Notamacropus eugenii: one gene and its partner. The protein of the gene in region 1 interacts with the protein of each later gene in a biochemical or structural test. Links are inferred from orthologs where the notes say so. Each region holds a gene or a part of one and is shown in the gene's direction. Other genes may lie near its edges.

Region 1 (9,995 bases):
GAGCTTCTTTTTTTAGTGAAACACCCAATTGTAGAGATCATGAAAGTGAATGGTTTGCCTTCTGCCAAAGACAAAGATAGATAGAGATAGAGATATATGTATATGCAGAAGTGTATGTGGGTATATATACATATATATATAAGTATGTATATATAGATTGTAGCTAGCTATATAAATATCTATACATATATCAGTTTCAATATCTGAATCTATATTTTGTTCTGGTTGCATTCAATAATGACTCCAAATACATCAAAGTAACAGAGTCAGAAAGATATTCCGCAAGAGAAAAAAACACCCACACCACAATCATTTCTGTGTTTTATTCAAAACTGCTTTGTGGACAAGCCTTATTGCAGCTGATGAGATCTTCAGCAGTCTTGAATTCCCTGCCATTGTGGCTACTGCAGGAAGTATAATTCCCACTACATTTTAATATTTGGGGTGCCTTCACTAATAACCTTGGTCTGATGAATGCGGAGATATCTGGGATGCTGGTGGGACATTTCTCTACCCCCCACCCCTCTCTGGGAGCTCAATAAATGCCAATGCTCCTGGGTTTGTGCTGTAGATCTCTCTTTTACTCCTTTGTAGAGTTTGGGGCAGCTTCCCATTAAAGGAGATCAGGGGTAATTAGCAGCATTATTTTGACAAGTTGGGTCGAGCTGTTCCCTTTCTTACATCCCTGAGCAGGGGGAGAAGGGGAGGGGGTAAGTAGAGGAAAAGAGAGTGGGGGAGGGAGAAGGAGGTCAAGCCCAGTGTCTTGAGATTCTATGGCAGCTGAATACTTTCTTTTCTCAACCCTGAAACTTTTTAGAACCATTTGGTCTAATTTCTGTCTCTAGGCTCCACCTTTCAATTCCTTCAAGAGAACTTGTAAGGAAATACACAAACATTTATAAGGAGATAATATGGCATTGTTAAGGAGCAAGAAATGCAGCAAATAGTGGAACACTAGATTGTCAAGACTCCTGGGATCTGTTTGAGACATCTCAACGCCTAAACTCATTTTCTGTCCTTGGGCAACTCACTGGACGTTTGTATTTGTTTTATCGTCTACAAACCGAAATTATGCTATTACTATGCCCTGTGAAACTGACAGCAATATTGTAAGGAGTAGTGTGTTACGTCAAAAGTTCTTTGCATTTCTGAAAAGTAAATGCAATATAAAAAGCAAAGTATTACTATTGCATTTTATTAGGTTAGAGATGGTTGAAATTAAGCAAATGAAATTCATACTGAAAACTGTGAATTATAAGACAAATGCATTGGGCATACTTATTCATATGTTGTTTACATGGATGGCATTACACAAAAGGCAGCTTATGGTATCATACAAACACCACGTTATCAAGTATTGAAGTCCAAGGGTTACATTGAACATCCAAAGAGTAAGGAGGGAACAACATTCCAAAAGGTAACTGGAAGATCATTCGGGGGTTCATAACCATACTCTGTTCTGTTCCTCTATTTAGCTATATCTTGCTTTGCTCACTTCACTCTGTAATATTCAAACACAGAGGCCAGGCGTTTTGTTGTCCATGTCCTATTGAATTTGGATAATCAAATGTAGATTTCAGAACTGTGTTGTAGGACCATGGGAAGTTAAAGTGTTAGAACAGAGAAAGGGGGAATGAAACACAAGGAGGGATTCTTCAGTTCACAGAATTTAACTGAAGTCTTTGGACCACAAGGGAAGAAAAGTTAACCCATGTATTGAAATATGGTCTAAAAGGAATATGAAAGGAGGCAAATCAGATGTTTCTTCATCTATACTGAAAAGTTCTGCCAGTCCACAAGGTCTCAAGTGATCACGTGTTTGACAGATCTACAAGGGAAGCTAAGGAATAAAGGCTATTCTTCAAGGACTCTCACTGAGAGACACCTTAGCAGGCCCTGTTCATCCAAACCAGCTCCATATCAGGTCTGTGGGATCCTTGTGATTAGTTGAAGTTAACAAAACCTGGTGTCGAGCAGCAGTTACATGCACAGGGCATGCATATTAAAGCCAACAATGCTTACAAATGTAAATAAGGGCAGATTGATTAAGAACAACATTATCGCTGGGAATGTAGCACTCGCATGCATCAGCAATGAGGCAAATTGGGGGCAGCCTCAGCCCTGACCACCCATGTTGAGACAGGCTTTTACACTGGCACCTCTTCCTTTTTAAAAAACATTGCAGAAACCAGGCCAATTAGATCCCCAAAGTAATTCATCTCTTGTGTATGAAAAAAGCAGACCACAGGGGGAGAAGAGAAGGGAAGGGATGGGAGAGAGATTAAGATAGTGCTTGTTAAATCTGAGGTTCCAGATTGAGTTTGGGAACCAGTGAGAAGAATATACCAGCAGGGCATTGTCTAAGATCATGAAAAGTTAACCTATCAAACAGGAGGCAAAGAGGGGTGGTAGAAAGGCGTCATGTATTTTAAACTTCAGGCATCAATATTCAAAGTATTTCGAAATAAAGTAAGACTGAATGAAATTAACATGGAAGGATGACATCTTACTCTTGAAAGGATACCAGTGTAGAAGCAGAAGAATGTTTCTTCCATGTAAAAATGAACTAATATTCACTACCATATCTTCCTTGAGTGTGGTACTCTAAATATTAAACAACATTAAGAAACAATGAATATTAACTTAAATGATCAATGAGATAACATTCAGACAAAAATTTTGATACAAAAATTTTAAGAATTTGAAATGTGATTTATGATATAGTTGCTTTATCTTCAGCAGCTGAAGAAACATGCAAACCTCTACACTCTTATACGTATGTGGTAACATCTGATTGTCCTAACAATCTGTATTAGCTCTGTTACTTACCATTAGGACCTTGGGCAAGTCACAACCTCTCTGGGCATCTGTAAAACTAAGAGCTTTGAAGTATCTTCCAGCTCTAAATATATGGTCCTCTCCTATAAATGAGTCGAAATGAGAGATAGCCTCAACATTGACAGAAGTTATTGAAAATGTACACTGAGCACTTCTTAATATAACCTGAAATCTTGGCTGGCTCATACAGTATGTGACATCAATACAATTTGATGGTGCTTCTCAGATTTTAAAAGCAATTTTCACTATAAGATTAATTTTTCATATTACAGCTTTGTCATGTATTAATACAAAACTTCCTGCAATCCTGTTTAGTTCCAACACTATTCTGTCTTTTATTTACACTGTTTGATCATACTGGCTTTTTAAGAGGTCTTGTTGTAGATAATGCCTACATCTACAGTGAATTGCCACATACTAAAATGATGTCCCAGTTAAGACATTCAATTTTAAATTTCCCGGCTGCCTGGCTACTCTTCCTTTTATGATATGAAACCGCCCACGTACATCTGTGCCCCATCTCATCTTTGAGAGTGTCACTTTGTGAAAGCCCTTCTTATAAGTGAGGTTTCCTTCTACCTCTTCTGGGTCAGGACTATGACTGAGGAAGAAAGAAAAACTGGTTCCAAGAGTAAATTAGAGGAAGGAAAGGGGAGAAAAGGAAAGAAAGAAGGAAAGAAGGAAGGAAAGAAAGAAGGAAGGAAGGAAGGAAGGAAGGAAGGAAGGAAGGAAGGAAGGAAAGAAGGAAGGAAGGAAGGAAGGAAGGAAGGAAGGAAGGAAGGAAGAAATGGGGTCTAGGAAGAGGATGGGGGAAAAGATGAAAGGCAAAGGAAAGAAAGGAGGGATAGGGAGAGAGAGGGAGAGAGAGGAGAGAGAGAGAGAGAGAGAGACGTCAACAAGCAGTTTTTAAACCTATGTGCTCAGCACTGTACAAAGCGCTGGAAATACAAAGAAATGCAAGAAAACGAGTTAGGGAAAGATGAAAAAGAGAAAGCTATGCATCAGTAAGGAGGAAGAGAAAGAAAAGAGGGAAGGAGTGGCACTGAGACATCCTAGGAACTGAAGGAAGGCGCCGGATTCTTTCTGCCAGAGCCGCGTGCGCTGGAATCAGCGGGCTTGTCTCTCCACCGGCCGGCAGCCCGTGACATCTTCCAAGACTTGGGGCAGAATTGAATGGAAATGTTTCCTTTCTTTGCTGCTATTGGCCGGTAGTAGTCAAGCCTCGTTGGTATTGGGTAACGTAAAGGGGGAAGAGACCTCCTTTAGGAATGTACTATGGCTTGTCTGGCATGCCTTTCGGCACCGGCAGCGGCGCATAACTGGGGTGGGAGGGGCAGCCTTCCCCTTTTTCCTCCGGCTTCTTAACGACACGAACTCCTTGGAGCGGGGAGGGAAAAGGAAGGAGGAAGGAAAAGAGTAATGAAAATCCCGATGGACGTGCCCCGACTGGGTGAATCCCAAAGCCGGGCAGGCAGCGAGGGTACTCTCCCTTTCCGCTCCTGCCTTGTCACTTGCCTGTCCAGCGGCGTGAGTTCCCTCCACCCCCAGCCCCCCGCCTCCTCACGCTTGGACACGCACGCACGCACGCACCCCCAGGCAGGGGAGCTGGTAGATCTGCAGCAGCTCCAGAGGACTGGGGCTCAGCTCCCGGCTCGTTGGTCACGTGGCCTCGCCCAGACTCCACCTCCCCGCTGCCTCGCCCCCTCCCCCTCTTCATCCCCGCCCCTCCTACTTTCCCTCCATCTGGGGTTCTTTCTTTTCTCTCCTTTCCTTTCTTTCTTCTTTTTTTTCAATGAACACACACCGAGTGCACCTTAAAGCAACACTCCCCTATTTCGCTGCCTCCATCAGCACAACATCCCGCTAGTTTCCTCGCAATGCAGTCGAGTTTAAAAAAAAAGAAGCTAGTGCCCTGATCGCCACTGCGGGGAGAAATTTCATAACTTGCAAAGCTAAGGGGGAAAACAAAAACAAACACCAAAAATCCCACCCACGTTCTTAAAAAAAAAAAAAAGCGGTCGAGCCAGCCTAGTTTCTGAGACATTTTGCAAGGCAAGCCCCTACTGCTGGCAAATTAACCATGTACGCTTCCAAAAGGGGCTATTTATCCCAATGGGAAAGTAAAGCCTAGGATGTCTTCGTGACCTTAGCTAAAGCGTCGGGATGGGTACTTACAGTCAGTGCACAATTTGTTTCGAATGAATTCAACATCAAAGCCTTTATTCCTCCCTACGTCACGCTATTACTAAATATATAGAGGATGCGTACCGCTTTTTAAAAAGTCAGTTCGCAACTGACTTTAAATAAATATGTACGCGTACTAAAAGGGGGTCAGAATGAAGCAAACTGAGTGGCAGTAACTTTTTTTCTTTTGAAGGAAATAAGACAATTCAATTTTGCCAAAATTTCAAATGACTCTCTTTTTAAACTATGCGATCATTTAGATTCAAATAAAAACAGCCCCCCCCCCCCAACTCCCATATACAATTGCTGCGGGTGTCTGGATGCTATAGTATAAATCACTAATTTCTTCCTTGAATATAGTAAGTGTTTAGGGGGAGGGGGCTGGTGTAGGCAGGGGATTTGGAGGCGGTTGTTGTTTTTTAAGGTTCTTGTGTTGTATTATTTAACTTTCCGTTTTGTTTATCTTTAATGTATGGCGTATTTCTCTTGCGAGAGACCGTCTTCCTTTTAGTTATAAAAGAAAGCGGCGGGGGGGGGGGGGGGGGGGTGGAATTGGCACGCACTACCTCGGTATCCACCACCCTGTCATTATTGGTTCAAGCCTGGGAATTCAAGTCGGACCTCCCAGTATTTGCTACAGCTTGAGGCCAAGGTGCCTCTGAATAGATTTTCTTTTTAGGAGTTTCTGAAATTCTTTAAGCGCTTTAAAAAATATTACTTTTTTTGTACATCGCGAGGTGTGTGTGTGTGTGTGTGTGTGTGTGTGTGTGTGTATGTGTGTGTGTGTGCGTGCAAAAAAAAGCGTCTCATAAAAAGAAGACACTTTTCAAAAGAAAAGGAAGGGGGGAGCATTCCTTAATGGAAGTATTGCATGCAAGAAGGTTGGAGCTCTTTAAGGCTCCCCTTGAAGCTGGGGATGCACACACTAGGGTTGCCTGCCTGGGTGGTCTCTCTACTTTGGTGAGCTGTTGCTAAGCAGCTAATAATAGTCATGTTTGCTGAGTAATTTCTGCCCTCCTTGAGCCAATCACATCGCAGAAATCCTAGCCATCTGACAGCCCCAGGGGCGGGAGCTCCAGCCTTTTTCTCTCTCGCTGGCTCTCTCCCCCTCCACCCCCTCCCCTCCTCCTCCTCTTTCTCCAAATGGAGAGAGTTCTTTTTTTTCTTCTTCCATCTCATCTATTGAATCAAGGAGCTGCTGCTGCTTGCTGCACACACGCAGACTGGAGTCCCAAAGTCCCGGGAGTCAGAGACCAGCGCTGCACTGAAACAGAATGGTACAGCGAGTCGGCAAGGAGCAGAAGCCAGAGCCAGAGTCGAAGGAGCAATCCCAGCAGCAGCCTCCGCCTCCAGCAGCAGCACCAGCGAGAGCAGGAGCAGCAACTCCCCAGCAGCACTGAGAAGAGCAAAGGAAGCTCGGATTCTGCCGTGGCTTTTTGCTTTCTTCCCGGAGAACCAACTCAAGAAAAGGAGCCGAGGGAGAAAGCCCCGGTGGCGGGATCTCTGGGGGTTTCCTCACATTTTCCCAAGTAAAAGGGTCTGGAAAAGGGGGCAAACAAGGAGCGAAGGAAGCGGCGGTGGGGATTGTTTGGTGGTGGTGAAGGAGACACCGGGGGGAGGGGGGGGCAAGCAGGAAAGAGAGAGGCTCGCCCCCCGTGCGCGCACACACACATACGGATCCCTCTCACCCTCTTCGCGAACTGGATGTGGGAAGCGGCCGCAGCAGAGACCTCCGGATCACCACGAAATGTTGCAATGGAAGGCACAGGTCCTGACTCTTCTCCAACAGCAGCAGCGGCAGCAGCAGCAGCAGCCCCCGCGGTATGAGGAGGTCTGTCAGCAGCAGCAGCGACCACAGCAAAAGCCGGAGCCACCCGCAGAAAGAAGCGTCCTCCGGAGCCTACTCCCCGGCATCACCAGCCAGCTCCAGCAGCGCGCCGTGGTGGTGGTGGTGGTGGGGGAACCGAGACAAGCCAGCCCGCCTGATGCGGGAGCAGCAGGGGCAGCTCAGTCACCGCGGCGGCGGCGGCGGCAACATGGCCTCAGCTGTTAACATTGCGGAGCCTGAGAGCGGCGGCGGCGGCGGCAGCGGAGGCTGCGGCAGAGACCCCAGTCTGCCTGGGGGAAACGGCAGCAGGAGGCGGAGAAGGACCGGGGGGAGCCGACGTGCCGGGGCACCAGACCTGGAGTATCTGCAGCGGCCGAGCTACTGCGATGCGGCTTTCGCGTTGGAGCAGATTTCAAAGGTGCATTTCTGTATTTCTTTTCCCTCCTTCTGGACTTCCCTCGCATCCCTTTCCATCTTCTCCTTTTTCTCTTTGGAAGCACCCGTACGAATACACACACTCCCCTCTTTTGGATAAAGAAATAGACTAGGGGAAATGAAAAACCCAAACACACCCACCAGCTTTGGAAGGAAAGGGATGTCTAACTAATGCAGGGGGTGGAAGTGTGTGTGTGTGTGTGTGTGTGTGTGTGTGTGTGTGACTGTGTAACGTGCTCTCCCTGTCTAGTGTACACTTTCTGGGTCATTCGAATTATTCTCCCATTAAACCAATCCAGAAAAAGACTTAAGGTTGGTACTGGCTCTCTCTCCCTCTATCCTTTCTCTAGGTTGGCTTTTCTCTCTCTCTCCTCTAATGCTGCCACATTTCTTAACATATTTTGGGGGTGGGGGTGGAGGGAGGCGGGGAGAGGAAGGAGGAGGGGGTAGAAATAAAGGTGGTTTCCTTTTTTGGCAGCCCGTTTTGCTTTTGTTAAGCTTTGAGTAAGCGTGAAATCTCAAATCCTTTAAAAATCGCCTTTGAGGAGAAGATATTTTCCCTTCTCTTCTTTTTGACCGGTTTACCCTGACCTCCAACTCGTAGGAAAAGTGAAAGTTGTAAACAAATTGCCACCTTAAATCTGCGGTGCAGGTCTGACTGAGTCGCCGGGTTCATTGTGTTCGTTACTCTTACTGAAATGTGTGGAATCCAGGAATTCCGTGTAAACATATTGTAGCAGAGAGAATCCCCGGTTACTGATTCTGAAGAAGAAATATCTGCGAGAATAAACAACGCCCAGATATTTCCCTTTCCATAAACGTTATTTTCCTTTCAGAGAGCAGATTTTTTAAAATGCTTCAGCAAGAAGGGAAAGGGGAGGGAAAAAAATCCATGTGGCTGCCCTCTTCTGTTCACAAATATTGTCGTAACTTACAGATGGCTGCTCTACTTCTTAATTCAGATCACACAGCGTCTCCTAACTCTATGGAAATGAATCACGATTAAGCTATGATCTTGCAGCATTGCCCGCCACGTGGATCTTGCGTTTTACTACAAAGTTGGTGTTGAAGGCTGTGGGAGCTGGGCTGAGGAAATGGCAACAAATCAAATTGTTATCAAATAGCATCCTGCCTCCCCACCATCCACCCCTTTAACCACCGCATCCTAGAGACACAGCAAGATGGGAGGTGGGGGAGAGTGGAGAGGACCAGGTGTTTATTCTTGTGGTCCTTGTCTTAGCCGATTGCAATTCACTTATGTTAATTAATTAATTAATTTGTATTAATTTTCCGTGCCGCTGCCGTCCCCCTTCCCCACTGTAAATATTCTAGTATCAATGATTTCTTTCCTCCGGACCAACGATCGCGCGCGCGCGCGCGCGCGCGCGCACACACACACACACACACACACACACACACTCACACTCACATATACACACACAGCCAATGTCTCCTTCCCTGCCCTCAGACACCCCAGGACTCCTAGTAGAGTCCCAGAAGGAGGTGCTTAGAGGCACGCTCACTCACAGTCTTGATACAGATTTCACTCAGAAGCCAGGCTTTGATTTATGAATAACTCATCCCACTCCCACACTCCGCCCCTCTGGCCAGACTCTCACCTTATTCCTTACCACGCTTTCAGAAGGGAACCGTCCAACACTAGCTAGTGTCCTTGTGGTTGGGTTAACTAATTCATTTACCTTTTACAGTGTGAAAGTTATTTTGCTTATGCACTCGAAATACGTTTTCCTCCTCTTTCCCACTCTCCAGACAAGACTTCTTCACTTACAGCAAGTCCGTCTCGACTCTCCCAAGTCCTGCCAAAAGATTGAGTGTGTTTGTGTCTTGTAGGGGGTGAAGGAGAGGCGCACCCCCAAAGCACAAACATTGTTGTATACAGTGCTTAAGTGTATATGGTGATTTCGAAGCACTTATTCCTCATATTTCCTTGCATTCCAGGGGAAGGCTACCGGCAGGAAAGCGCCGCTGTGGCTGAGAGCGAAGTTTCAGAGACTATTATTTAAACTGGGTTGTTACATTCAAAAAAACTGCGGCAAGTTTTTGGTTGTGGGCCTCCTTATATTTGGGGCTTTCGCTGTAGGATTAAAGGCAGCTAATCTTGAAACCAACGTGGAAGAGCTTTGGGTGGAAGGTAAGAGACCCAGCACGTTCTATTGCTTCCTTTTATTTCCATTCAATTGATAGAGATATTTACGAGACTATACCTAAAGTCTTTTAAAAAATCCTCCCTACACCAGGGGGAATTGTTTATTGTTTAGAAGTTTGGCCGGATGCCAGATAAAACCTACAAAGAGTTTGCTGTAATCTATTCTGGTCCACAGTGTTTTGCTAGGTGGTGTGGGAGATTGTGTGGAGAGCGAAAGGTGGGGGTGAAGGGGGGGAGGAGGTTGCAGCTCCTTGGGATAAACCATTTTTAGGGGGGAAGTGTCTTGGGACTGATTTAGGTGTTGAGTGTTCTCTTTCAAATCTGGAGAGACTTGAATGAAAAAAAGTTCTTTTTCTTTTATATTACATTCCTCTCCATCAATCTCCCTTTTTCTTTCCTCTCCCAAAAAGAGACTTACAAGTGGGGGAAGAAAGACCACCCCTCCGCCATTTTGGAAGTGTGTGTGTCCCCAGCAGCGGAGGCTGCTGCTGCCTCTGGAGCTGCTGGAGGAGGGAGAACGTGATGAGCGCAGGCCTGCAGAGG
Region 2 (10,972 bases), about 240 Mb from region 1:
GAATTCAAGGACTGTTTCATTTCTGTCTTTGTATTCTGAGTACCTTTGTTTCAAGAATGAACAGCTAATGGGACCCAGTTGAACAGGAGAAAAGAAAGTCTTTGAAAATTGTCAGGTTTCTTTAATGACTCCAAGTTTCCCATGAAAGCAAAAGCCTATCTTTTAAATATCAACATTCTACCAATACTGCTGTATGGCAGATATATATAATAGCTTTTCTCCAAAGAATCAAAAATTAATATCATAAAAGGCAATGGAGACTTTCCTGGTGGGTATGAGGTGGCTGCAAGAAATAATCACTGAGGAATTCTGAAGAAAAAGAATAAGAAATGTTACCAAGGAATTAATTATATGAAAGGAATGGTTTGGTCCTGCCTGTATCAAGATAAGAGAGTGCTTCCGTGGTACCCTTACAATGTAAGAAGAAATTGAGGAAGGCCTCTAATATATTAGGTGAACTCCCTGTGGCAAACATATAGAAAGATGTGGACCAAAGTAGAATGGAATTGGCAGACATGAATGGGCTGCTAATGCACTGCTGGAGGGAATTTCAAAATCTATGAGATCACAGATCTATTTGAGTATCCTGGGCCTAGACCAGGGCTTAGAACATAGTTGGAGCCTGCTAAATGGTTATGGATTGGTTGATCTATAAAATTAGAGAGCTGGACTTATAACCAGAGGTTCTTCAGCTGGGGTCTGTGAACTTGTTTCTTTCATCATTTGGTAACTGTATTTCAATATAATTGGTTTCCTTTATCATCCTGTGTATATTATTTTATGCATTTAATAGCATTAATCTGAATAGGGAGCTATAGACTACCAGGCTGCCAAAAACGGTCCAAGACACAAAAAAGGTTAAAAACTTCTGGACTTGATAATCTCTATATTCTTTGATCTTGGGAACTGCCATGGTGAAGGGAACTGCCAAAATTATGAGTTGAGTAGCACTTCTTGGATGTATGATTTCATTTGTGTATTTCTGTCACTAATAAAAAAATGTGACCCCTTAGTAGACAGTCTCCAAAAGTAACTATCTATCACCCAGACTGACAGGAAAGCCAGTCTTACTGAATCAAGCACCCTAAGAGAAAGACAAGCAAGTCAAACAACCACCACCACCTTGGCAACCATCTCCCTTCAGACCCTGATGGAGGCAGTCCAGAAGCCTGAGCCCAAGAGTTTTGGAAACAGCAATGCTTCCAGCCTAGTGCCCTCAACCATCTCAGCCATCATTCTGGGAAGCAGTCCTTGTGGAAATGCAGCCTGGCAACTGTTCCTACAAGTGCTGCAGTCAAGCTATTAAAGACCTAGAAAAGAAAGTTCTTACCACCAAAGTCCTTGGCACTGACAAATAGTTCAACATCAGAAATTGATAGAATGACATTCAAGAAGCATTAATGTCTGCTTTGTCATGGCACCCTGAGGAGCATGGGACTTTTCTATTTGACTTGAATCTGAAACCTTTCATTCTTAGTGAATTTGAGATCAGTCTATTTTCATTGTCTCTTTGTATCACATTAAAGTGTTTAATAAATGCTTTATCCATTCATTTATTCATTGCTATAGTAGGAAAAAAGCATAACTTAGTATCCTATCTTGAGATGATGAGTCTTTTAAAACATATCTAAGTCCTTGGTTGACAGAAGCATTGACTGGGCTTTTCAGCTTGGTAGGACCCTCCAGGACTTCCTTCTGCTGGTCTAGCCTCGGAGAACCCACTGTCACCTCTATACCCTATGGAGGCATCTACTTTATGGAGGTAAGGGTCAGATGCTTTCCTCAGAAATGCATACAAGGCAACCCTAAGAGTAGGCAGTGGTGGGGCGGGGGGAGTTAGAAGCACAGAAGGGGAAATATAGGACTGATGGAAATCAGAGCTGATGAAGCTGAGGCAAGATTGAGATGATCATTACTGAAGGGAAGGAGAATGTACAGAACTAATGGAGATGCCAAAGGGGAGGAGGAGGTTATCCCAATTGGTAAATGTAACGTTGGAGCTGGAGACTAGGAAATAGAGGTAAATGGAGAGAAGCATTAGAGCACTCCAGCATAAATCTCATGGGATAAAGAGAAAGTACAGGTGGCATGATGATGGTTGGGGAAGAGGGCAGTGGAGTGGGAGGGTCAGTCTATCTTCTCAAGGATTTCCATGACAAAGGTCAGCCTATCTTCCCAGGGCCTCCAGGTTATCTCAGGCACCTTGTTTTGGTTTGGAAAACCAGGCCAAGGCTTGAGCCCTCCATGTTTAATCTGAAGGCAGAGTGAGGGGGCCATCTAGTGTCTGGGGCTGAAAGGGGGAGACAGTAGGAGCTGTTTCAAGGAAGGGCGCCATCTGGGGGCTTGGGGGTAGAATCCAAAGGGAGGTCACCTGTCCTCTAGTGGGATGGATGGATGGATGGATGGATGGATGGATGGATGGATGGGGGAAACCCAGGTGGAGTGGAAGCAGAGAATGGGACTTGCTGACAGGCAGAAGGAATAGGCTGGGATTTGGGACTGACAGTCAGGCAAAGGGAGGGGCCTGGCTTGTCTGGAAGTGGGTGGGGGAGGAAAAGGGAGAGAGCCATCTGGTGTCTGGAGGTGGAAGACAGAAAGAGTGTCTGGTGTCTGGGAAATGGGAAGGGTGTCGGTGAGATGAAAGGAGGGGGGAGAGAGACAGTAGGGGGAGGGGTCTGGGACGAAGAGGAGCTGTTTGCCCCTGCTTCATCCACCTCCAGCACTTTGACTGAAAGTGTTTCCCAAGAAACAACCAGACCCTCGGTTTTCTTAGACGATGAGACTGTGAGCATTGTGGAATCTTTTTTTTTTATTTTGTTTTCTCCTTTTACCACCCTCCACACCCCAATTCATGACCGAGAGATCGATGCAACTGACGAGGGCATCAGTATTGGATCCTGTCTGGGCTTTCCCTTCATCCTCATTACCCTCATCATTATTTTAAGACTTGACAATCCATCCAGCTCCTGACATCATTCTTTCCCGGTGTAGGGGAAGGTGGAGGAGAGGAAGATACTGGGAGGGAGGATTGGGGAGAAGGCAGGGATGTCGCATTGCTACCGACAGAAGCTGTGAGGGATCCTGGCGACTTTAAATCAACCTTTGAGCTATCCGATGGGCCACGCCAAGCTGGGTCCCCTGCCTGTCCTCTCTTAGGGAGACGGAGAAGGAAGAGGCAATGCAGCAGTTCAGCCAGATCTCAGAATCTGGGCTGGGGACGCAAACTGAAACTGCAGCATGCTCAACCCCGACCCTTTCCCCTCCCACCCAGACCTCCGCTTTCTCTAACTTCTGACTTGAGATTTTCAACTCTTGGCTTTTACACACACACACACACACACACACACACACACACACACACACACACACACACACACGGTAATAAAAAAATAAAAAAGTAAAAAGCCAACCCTCTATGTTGTCGGTTTGGGGTTTTTCCACGTGCATTTATGATTTGCATTTAATTAATTCCTCCTCTTTCCTTGCCTGTTGCTCTCTGGCTGACTGCTTTGTATGTATGGAAAGCCGGCTAATGAGGAGGTTCCCCGGGATTCTAGACTTCACTCCTTCACTGCCGGGCTCGCGAATGAAGTGGCCAGTGGGGAAAAGCGATCAAGTGATGTGTTTATTAATTAATTAATTTATTTATTTGTGAAGTTGGGGGTGGGGCGGGGAAGCGGGGGTGGAAAAAGGGAGGGGAAGGAAAGAGAGAGACGTGCCAGGGCGGGGGAGGGTGATCAAAAGGTGTGCAATATTCCACACAGGCAGGATCACTTCTTATTCCCTGGCACTATTTAATCATATTACATCAACACGTGCTGCGCCAGGTAACCACATCAAACGACCATACCTTCTTTGGGATATAACGTTATATCTTTCTTGTATCTATTTTCACGGGTTGAGTACACACACACACACACACACACACACACACACACACACACACTGCAAAAAGTTAAAACACCGACTTGTCAGCTGAGGTCTATCTGTCTGGAGCTAACCCGGGAACTTTTAACACAGATCCGTCCTTTAATTGATAGAGTTGGGAAGGTGTTTTCCAGCTACCCAGGGCCTGTTCAGATCTCTTCCTGAGTCGTAGGATAGGGGGACCAGGCTTTGTACTTTGTAAAGATCTGAATGGAGGGGACTATTAAAAAAAAAAAAAACGGGAGGCGGGAAGAGGCAAGAGCTTGTGTCCCATTTTGGAAATGCCATAAGAGTGTTAATTTCCACCACTACCCCCTCCTCAAAGGTTATTGCGATGGAATATTTCATAGACCTACCCAATTTACCGCATTGCCGAGGGAGTTAAAACTTTGAGGTCTGGGAGACCTTTATTTACTTTCTTCTCCCCATCCCACATATTTGTATTCTTTTTTTTGGTCTCATTTCTTTCAGAGTATCTGATTATTTCTTAGTGTATAGTTTTAGTTCTATCTCTCATATGTACTCCTACGACCCTCAGTTCCTTCCACCCCAGTAGTAGTCTTTTTTTTTCTTTTCAAAAAGAATAAATAAGAAATACCATGTTCTTCAAATGGGACGCTTAGAAATTCCATGTTTTTCTGATTTAAATGGAACTTTCTCTGAAATGAGTGTGGAGGTACAAGGAACTGACTTTGTAAAGATTCAGAGATCTAAGGCCAATGCTGCTGGTTTGGGAGTTGTTTCTTGTAAAGGGACGTGACTGTTCCTTAGAGAAAATGCTTTTGAATTAAGCCTCCTCCTGCCCCCACCCCACCCCAACTCCGATTTCCAGCGACTCGGCTTCTCTCTAGTCACTTTAGGTCTGGCAGATAATTTTGGGAGCCCAGAATAAAGACATCGCTGCACTACGCTGAAGAGAGCCCTGAATTTAACATTAAACTCATCCCCTTGCCCTGCACTTTGCTCCGATCGATCTGTGGGGCTGTTTGCGAAGCTCTACCAAAAGATTGCTGTCCTTCAAGAGGAAATAACTCTCTTCCCACACCGCTTCCCTCCCCCCCCCATTCCCTTCTTCTTGGAGCTGGGGTGGGGGTGGGGGGGGTCTAGTTCCCTAATACCTCTTAGCTTGAACACACCACTTTAGTTTGGGCACTGGGTAGTATGACCTGGTGCCAGGGCATCTGTTCTCTCACTCTCCTGTTCTGCAAGGTTTGAAGAGGTGTACATCTATTTCAACTTTGACTGTGTTTCAAGCATTTTGTGTTAACAGTTAAAGTATTTCAAGTAACAGTCCTCTCAGACATTTCCAGTTATAATCACACTCGCCCCCCCACACACACACTTCTAAGTCCACAGCTAACCTTAGTCTACTTCCAAGGATGCTTTCTTCAGTGGCCAAAGGCTCTTCCCTCTTGTGGAAAGATATTGTTGCTTTTAAACAGAGGGAGAAGGAGAGAGAGAGAGAGAGAGAGAGAGAGAGAGAGAGAGAGAGAGAGAGAGAGAGAGAGAGAGAGAGAGAGAGAGAGAAATCTTGCCTTCCTGATAAAGTCACTAAAAGGGATTTGTATAAATCAGCCGTGTTGCACTCATGGTTTTCATTGAACATTTGTCTGATGATCAAGGTTTGACTGGGAGTGAAGGGCGAGGGGAATGAGACAGAAGGAAGAATGAACTGTCTTTAAAAATTGCACTCGTATGAAACTTCCTAAAAGGTTGTCTAACAGAAGCATCTATTACTTTACTTGACAAATTTACCTTTCTCAGGAAAGTTTAAGAAGAAAAATCATGTAATTTATGTTATCCTAATAAATCAGATTCTACCTCACTACGATACAATTCACTTTGTGTTCTTCCCCTCCCCCTTTCTTTTCTTTTTTCTTCCCCCCCCCCCTCTACACCCCCCCACCCCCCCCGCCCAAGCCCTCAGGTGAAAGTGCGGCGGCGGCAGCAGCAGCAGCAAGCTGCAGCAGCAGCAACAGAAGAAACATTTTGTTGCCTTTTTGAGGGTTAAATCAGAAGACAGGCTGTCTCGCCTCGGCCAATCAGATGTGGTCCCTGCCAGCTATAATATAGTGCTAAAGGCAGGCTTCTCTCACAAGCGTTTCTAGGCTTGCTACCATTAAAATCAGAGTCTTTTTGTCTTTTGATTGCTGTCTCGCGACCCAACTCCGATGTGTTCCGTTATCAGCGACCGGCAGCCTGCCATTTCAGCACCTGTCTCGATAGGGATCGGTGGATAGTTGAAGGAATCAGCAAGGAAGCAAAGGCTTATTGAGAGGGAGAAAAGAGAAAAGGAAAGAGAAGAGAGGGAGGAAGGGAGGAGAGAGAGAGAGGGAGAGAGAGAGGGAGAGGGAGAGAGGAGAGAGAGAGAGAGAGAGAGAGAGAGAGAGAGAGAGAGAGAGAGAGAGAGAGAGACCGAGACCTAAGGAGACAGTCTGAGATAGACACGCGCAAAGGCGCGCGCACACACACATATACACATACACACACACACACACATACACACACACACCAAGGAAGCTTTGAAGTAACTGGATTCAATGGACGAGATGCTGCTACTGACGAGATTTCTGCTGGTGGTTCTCGTCTCTTCCCTCTTAATGTCCTCGGGGCTGGCGTGCGGACCTGGCAGGGGATTTGGAAAGAGGCGCCACCCCAAGAAGCTGACCCCCTTAGCCTACAAGCAGTTTATCCCCAACGTGGCGGAGAAGACCCTAGGGGCTAGTGGAAGATACGAAGGGAAGATCTCCAGAAACTCCGAGCGATTTAAAGAACTCACCCCCAATTACAATCCTGACATTATATTTAAGGATGAAGAGAACACCGGAGCGGACCGGCTGATGACTCAGGTAGAAACCCCATCCATCCATGTGTGGCGTTTAATATGTTTCTTTGAAAGGCAAGGAAAATGTGAAAGGAAGCGCTCACAGAATGAGCCTCTGTCCTTTTTTTCTTCTCAGTTTTAAGATAATATCCCTTTCCCTCCTTAGCCACCTACCCCATCACCCTTCCTCTTTCTCAAAGAATCCATATTATAAGTAGAGCTTAGAGAAGTTTGGGGGTAGGAATGGGGGTGGGGAGAGTGCAGTTGAGCTCGGGTTTTATGTCATTGATTTGATTTCTGTGTTATTGGTCTGCTACTTCCTATCCTGTCTCAGCCCTGTCATGCAACTTGCTAGGGAGAGCTCAGCTTTTAGGGCATTCGGCTCCTTGAGTCTGTCCTTGTTGCTTGGGGAGGAAAGGAGGTGGAGAGGGAATAGAAATCAGAGAGATGGAAGAAGGGGGAATCCGTCCCCCCCCCCCAATATACAGTGACCACCACATCAGGATTACTGTCTCTTTGAGTATTAGATCTTAAGACACTTTTTCTCTATCTCCATTTTTATTTCCTTTCTCACCCCCACTCTTCCCACATCTCAAATAAATTCTTAATTCGGCAGGCCAGGGGAGGCTGTTCTGACAAAAGGCAGTGTGGCTTCAGCCACAGCTATTGCTCTCCCATTTCTGTATTATGTAGCTTGTATTGCAATACCGTTTTGCAATTGTGCCCATCGGAGTGTGAATATATTGATATTTCTTTAAGGATGCTCTCTTTCTCCCGTCGCCCGTGGTACCTTAGGGGAGGGACTTATAACTTATTAGCATTGCATCACTCTCTTTTAAATCAGATTGCTCAAGAATTACAACCGAATAAATATTGGGTGGGGGATGGGGAAAGGGAATAGTGGAAAGATGGAATGCAGAACTATCTTAGGCTTGTTATTTATTTTATCTTTAAAAAAAGAAAAAGGAAGAAACCGCAAAACAAACGTTCCCTTCGTACTTCCCTTCCCACATTGAGATGTCTGAAAAGCAAATTCGACCGCCAGTCACGGACTTTCTGAAACTCCATAGATCTAATAAGCTGGAAATGGTTTTCCTTGCAAATATAGGTCAATATCATTTTTATTGCCCTATTAAAATATTTAAGTCCCACCTTTGGTGCTAGCAACGCAATGAGGTTGGAGGAACCGCACTAGTGGGGGTGGAAAGTTGGGGGGGGGGGGTCGGAGTTGGTAATGATTTCCCCCCCTCCCAACCCTATTCAATCCCCCAAGTCCTCGGTTTATTGAGGGGCAGGAAAAAAGACTGTCCTGAAAGATGACTTCTATTTTAAAGGGTGTCCTTAGCCTCTCTTCCTCATCTGCTCTCGACCACCTTAAATCTTACCTAGAGCGTTGACGCGGGCTCTTGTAGGCAGATAAAAGCGTGAGCCTCAATTATGTACAGGCCACAGTGTGCAGGTTGAGTGCAGCGTGCTGGACTGAGTTTGCCAGCTTGCTTGGGCAGGAGCTTTCACTCCCTCCGCCCCAACCCCAACCTCTGTCCCTAGCCTGCCTCTGGCTGCTCATAAACCCACTGGGGGCGGGGGGCTGGGCTGTAGTGAGATGGCTCAGGATCGGAGGTAGGATGGGGTGGGGGTGGGGGGCCGGAGGTTCCTGGCTCAGAACCCTGTTAATAGTTGCTCTCGTTTGTGGAAGCCCGCCTGACAGACAGCCCGAGAGCCCGTTTCACCCATCCCTGGCCCCCACCGCCCACCAGACCTCAGTTCCCGGGTGCTTACAGCCCTCAGTCATCGCAGCCTTTCAGAAAAGCTGCAAGGCAACGGAGCTGTACGCCAAGTCAGACGCATTTTCAGCTCCACTTACTCCTTCTTTATCGATCGCCACGGCTAGGGTTTCAGCTTGTATCCTTTCTAATACGACAGAGGCTGGGGCTGCTGCTACTGCTGCTGCTGCCGCTGCCGCCGTCACGAGTCCAGATTCTCTTAAACCCGAAGGAAAGAAACCCTTCCCCTCCCTTAAAAGATCACGCCCGCGAATTAGCTGCATCACTAGAACGATGGTGATGATAATAATAATAATACTATAATGATAATAATTAAATAAAGCTGCTGGGGGGGGGCTGACTAGGCGAGGGTTGAGGAGGAGCAGGCGGCAGCGGCGGCGGCGGCAGGAGGAGGAGGAGGAGAAGGTAGGAGGGGTGTGGTGAAGATGTTTTAAAGGGCTGGGTACATAGCTGGAGAGCAAGCTCCGAAGGAGGACTGCTAATAGCCTGTCTGCTTTCTCTTTCACTGCTCTGCGTCTTTTCATTCCTTCTTTCCCCTTCTCTCCTCTTCTGCAGCCCCTTCCCCAGCCTCTCCAGAATCCTGGTCTTCTCTCCCTTTCACCCCCACCTCACTGATTCTGCATCCCCCTCCGACCTTTCCCTCGTCTACCTCTGTCCGTCCTTCCCCGCCCCCTCAACTGCTAGCCCTTCCCAGGGAATTCAGCGCCAAGCCTGCTACGGGCTTGACCACTCTGGCTGCCATTGGCCGGCAGCATTTGAACTTCTGACCTTCTGTCAACTTCCCTCAGACGAACGAAACGAAAACAAATAAGTTCCCCCCTTCCCTTGCGCACACACGCACACCAGAGCGTTGGCTAGTCCTGTTCCCGACACAAAAGATGGGGGGGGTGGGGGGTGGGCAAGAGCCAGAAGGATTGCTGGAGGGAGGGGAACTCAAGTCCCCGTAACGCTGCCCCCATGGAAGTACCCTAAAAATAATGCATGGTAGTGGGAAGAAAGAAGAGCTGAGGACTCAGTCCAGTCACCTGGTTTCTCTCTTCCACCCTACACCCTTCCTAATATCCTGTTCTCTGGGCTCCCCCAGTGAAAAGTGTGATGGGGGGGGAAGGAAGTCATTGTTGTTGGGGTGTAGTTGTGAGATATAATAATATCCTGTTGATCTGGAAGTGGGGGGATGGGAAGACTGGTGATCAGTTTCTCTGCAAAGACGTGTCTTCTGAACTGGGGTTCAGCAGGCGGTCTCCCTGAGTTAGACCAAACACCCGTGTGTGTGTGTGTGTGTGTGTGTGTGTGTGTGTGTGTGTGTGTGTGTGTTGCTTCACAAGTCCCTCAACCATGGCGAGATCTTCCCCAGTGGAACTTTGAGAACCGTTCCTGAACGCATTAGCTACTGGTTAATATTAACTCAAGGGAAGGGGGAAACGCAGACGGACATCGCTTACAGGCTCAGGCAGGTCAGGTCCCCAGTCTTAGGGGGGGCAATGGTCTGAAAGGGGGACAGCGGGAAGCTAGTAAGGGAAGTCGGACCTGTATGGAGGGGGAAGTAGGGAAGTGGCCTGAAATTGACGCATGTCCCGTCTGCTTTGCAATCAAGTTAGGGAAAGGGAATGTTGAAATATGGGGGAAGAGGGGGAACTTTGATGGGAGGGGGTGTTTTTTCTTAGTTAAGTAGGACAGGAGACGTATGTAGGGTATGATTTTGCGGGTTGTGGATCTTTTGAAGTTTAGGGTGGCCCTCTTTATGGGAAACCCACCAAGTTGTTTACAGTTGACAGGTACCTGCTAAGTGTTTTCCTCCGAGCATTCATTTGTGTAGAGAGAGGTTAGGCGCTTGGCAGAGAGCTGGGGCGTGTTGAACTACTTTGCTTCGGCTGACACAAAAGCCCGAGCTGAGGCGGCCCTGCTGGGCTTCACGGTGAGTGAACAGAATTGGGCTTGATTCGTGGCACACGACCCAGTGAATTAATAAATTGTCTGAGCTTCACGGCTTTTGACTCCGACAATCCAGCTCAGCCAGTATAGAGTGAGAGTCCTTCAGCCAGCAGCAGCAGCAGCAGCAGGAGGAGGAGGAGGAGAAGGTGGTGGTGATGGGGGTGGTGGTAGTGGTACTTCTCCTTTTACCAGAAAGAATTAAAAGGATGGGGGGGGGGGGGCTCTTGCCAAATCCCCACGTTCCACCCCCACTGCCTCCATCCCCATTCCCCACTCCACACCCGTATCCTTCTTCCTCTGAGTGCATCCTTGTGCTCACTTCCGAATGGCCCAGCTTAAGTTAGAGATCTCGATCCCGGAATGGGAGCCTAGATTGCCCCGGGCTGTTTAAAGATTCACAGTCTGGTGGGGACCGAGACTGTGAAGTGAGTCGGGAAAGACCCCGGGTAGGGAAGAGAAGCCGTGCGTGGGTATGCGTGTTTGTATATGTGCGCACGTGCACCCG

Evidence for each region.
Region 2: the proteins of PTCH1 (region 1) and SHH are reported together in a solved structure, tested with the Homo sapiens proteins (5 studies listed by BioGRID and IntAct, with this or other methods). The link is inferred for Notamacropus eugenii from reciprocal best matches to the Homo sapiens genes PTCH1 and SHH.

The regions. Positions count from the first base shown.
Region 1 is NC_092874.1:328,557,995-328,567,989, forward strand, and holds the start of PTCH1 (protein patched homolog 1), read left to right. Parts: upstream 1-5,032; 5' UTR 5,033-6,845; coding exon 6,846-7,268; intron 7,269-9,244; coding exon 9,245-9,437; intron 9,438-9,995.
Region 2 is NC_092874.1:89,222,606-89,233,577, forward strand, and holds the start of SHH (sonic hedgehog protein), read left to right. Parts: upstream 1-6,030; 5' UTR 6,031-6,467; coding exon 6,468-6,776; intron 6,777-10,972.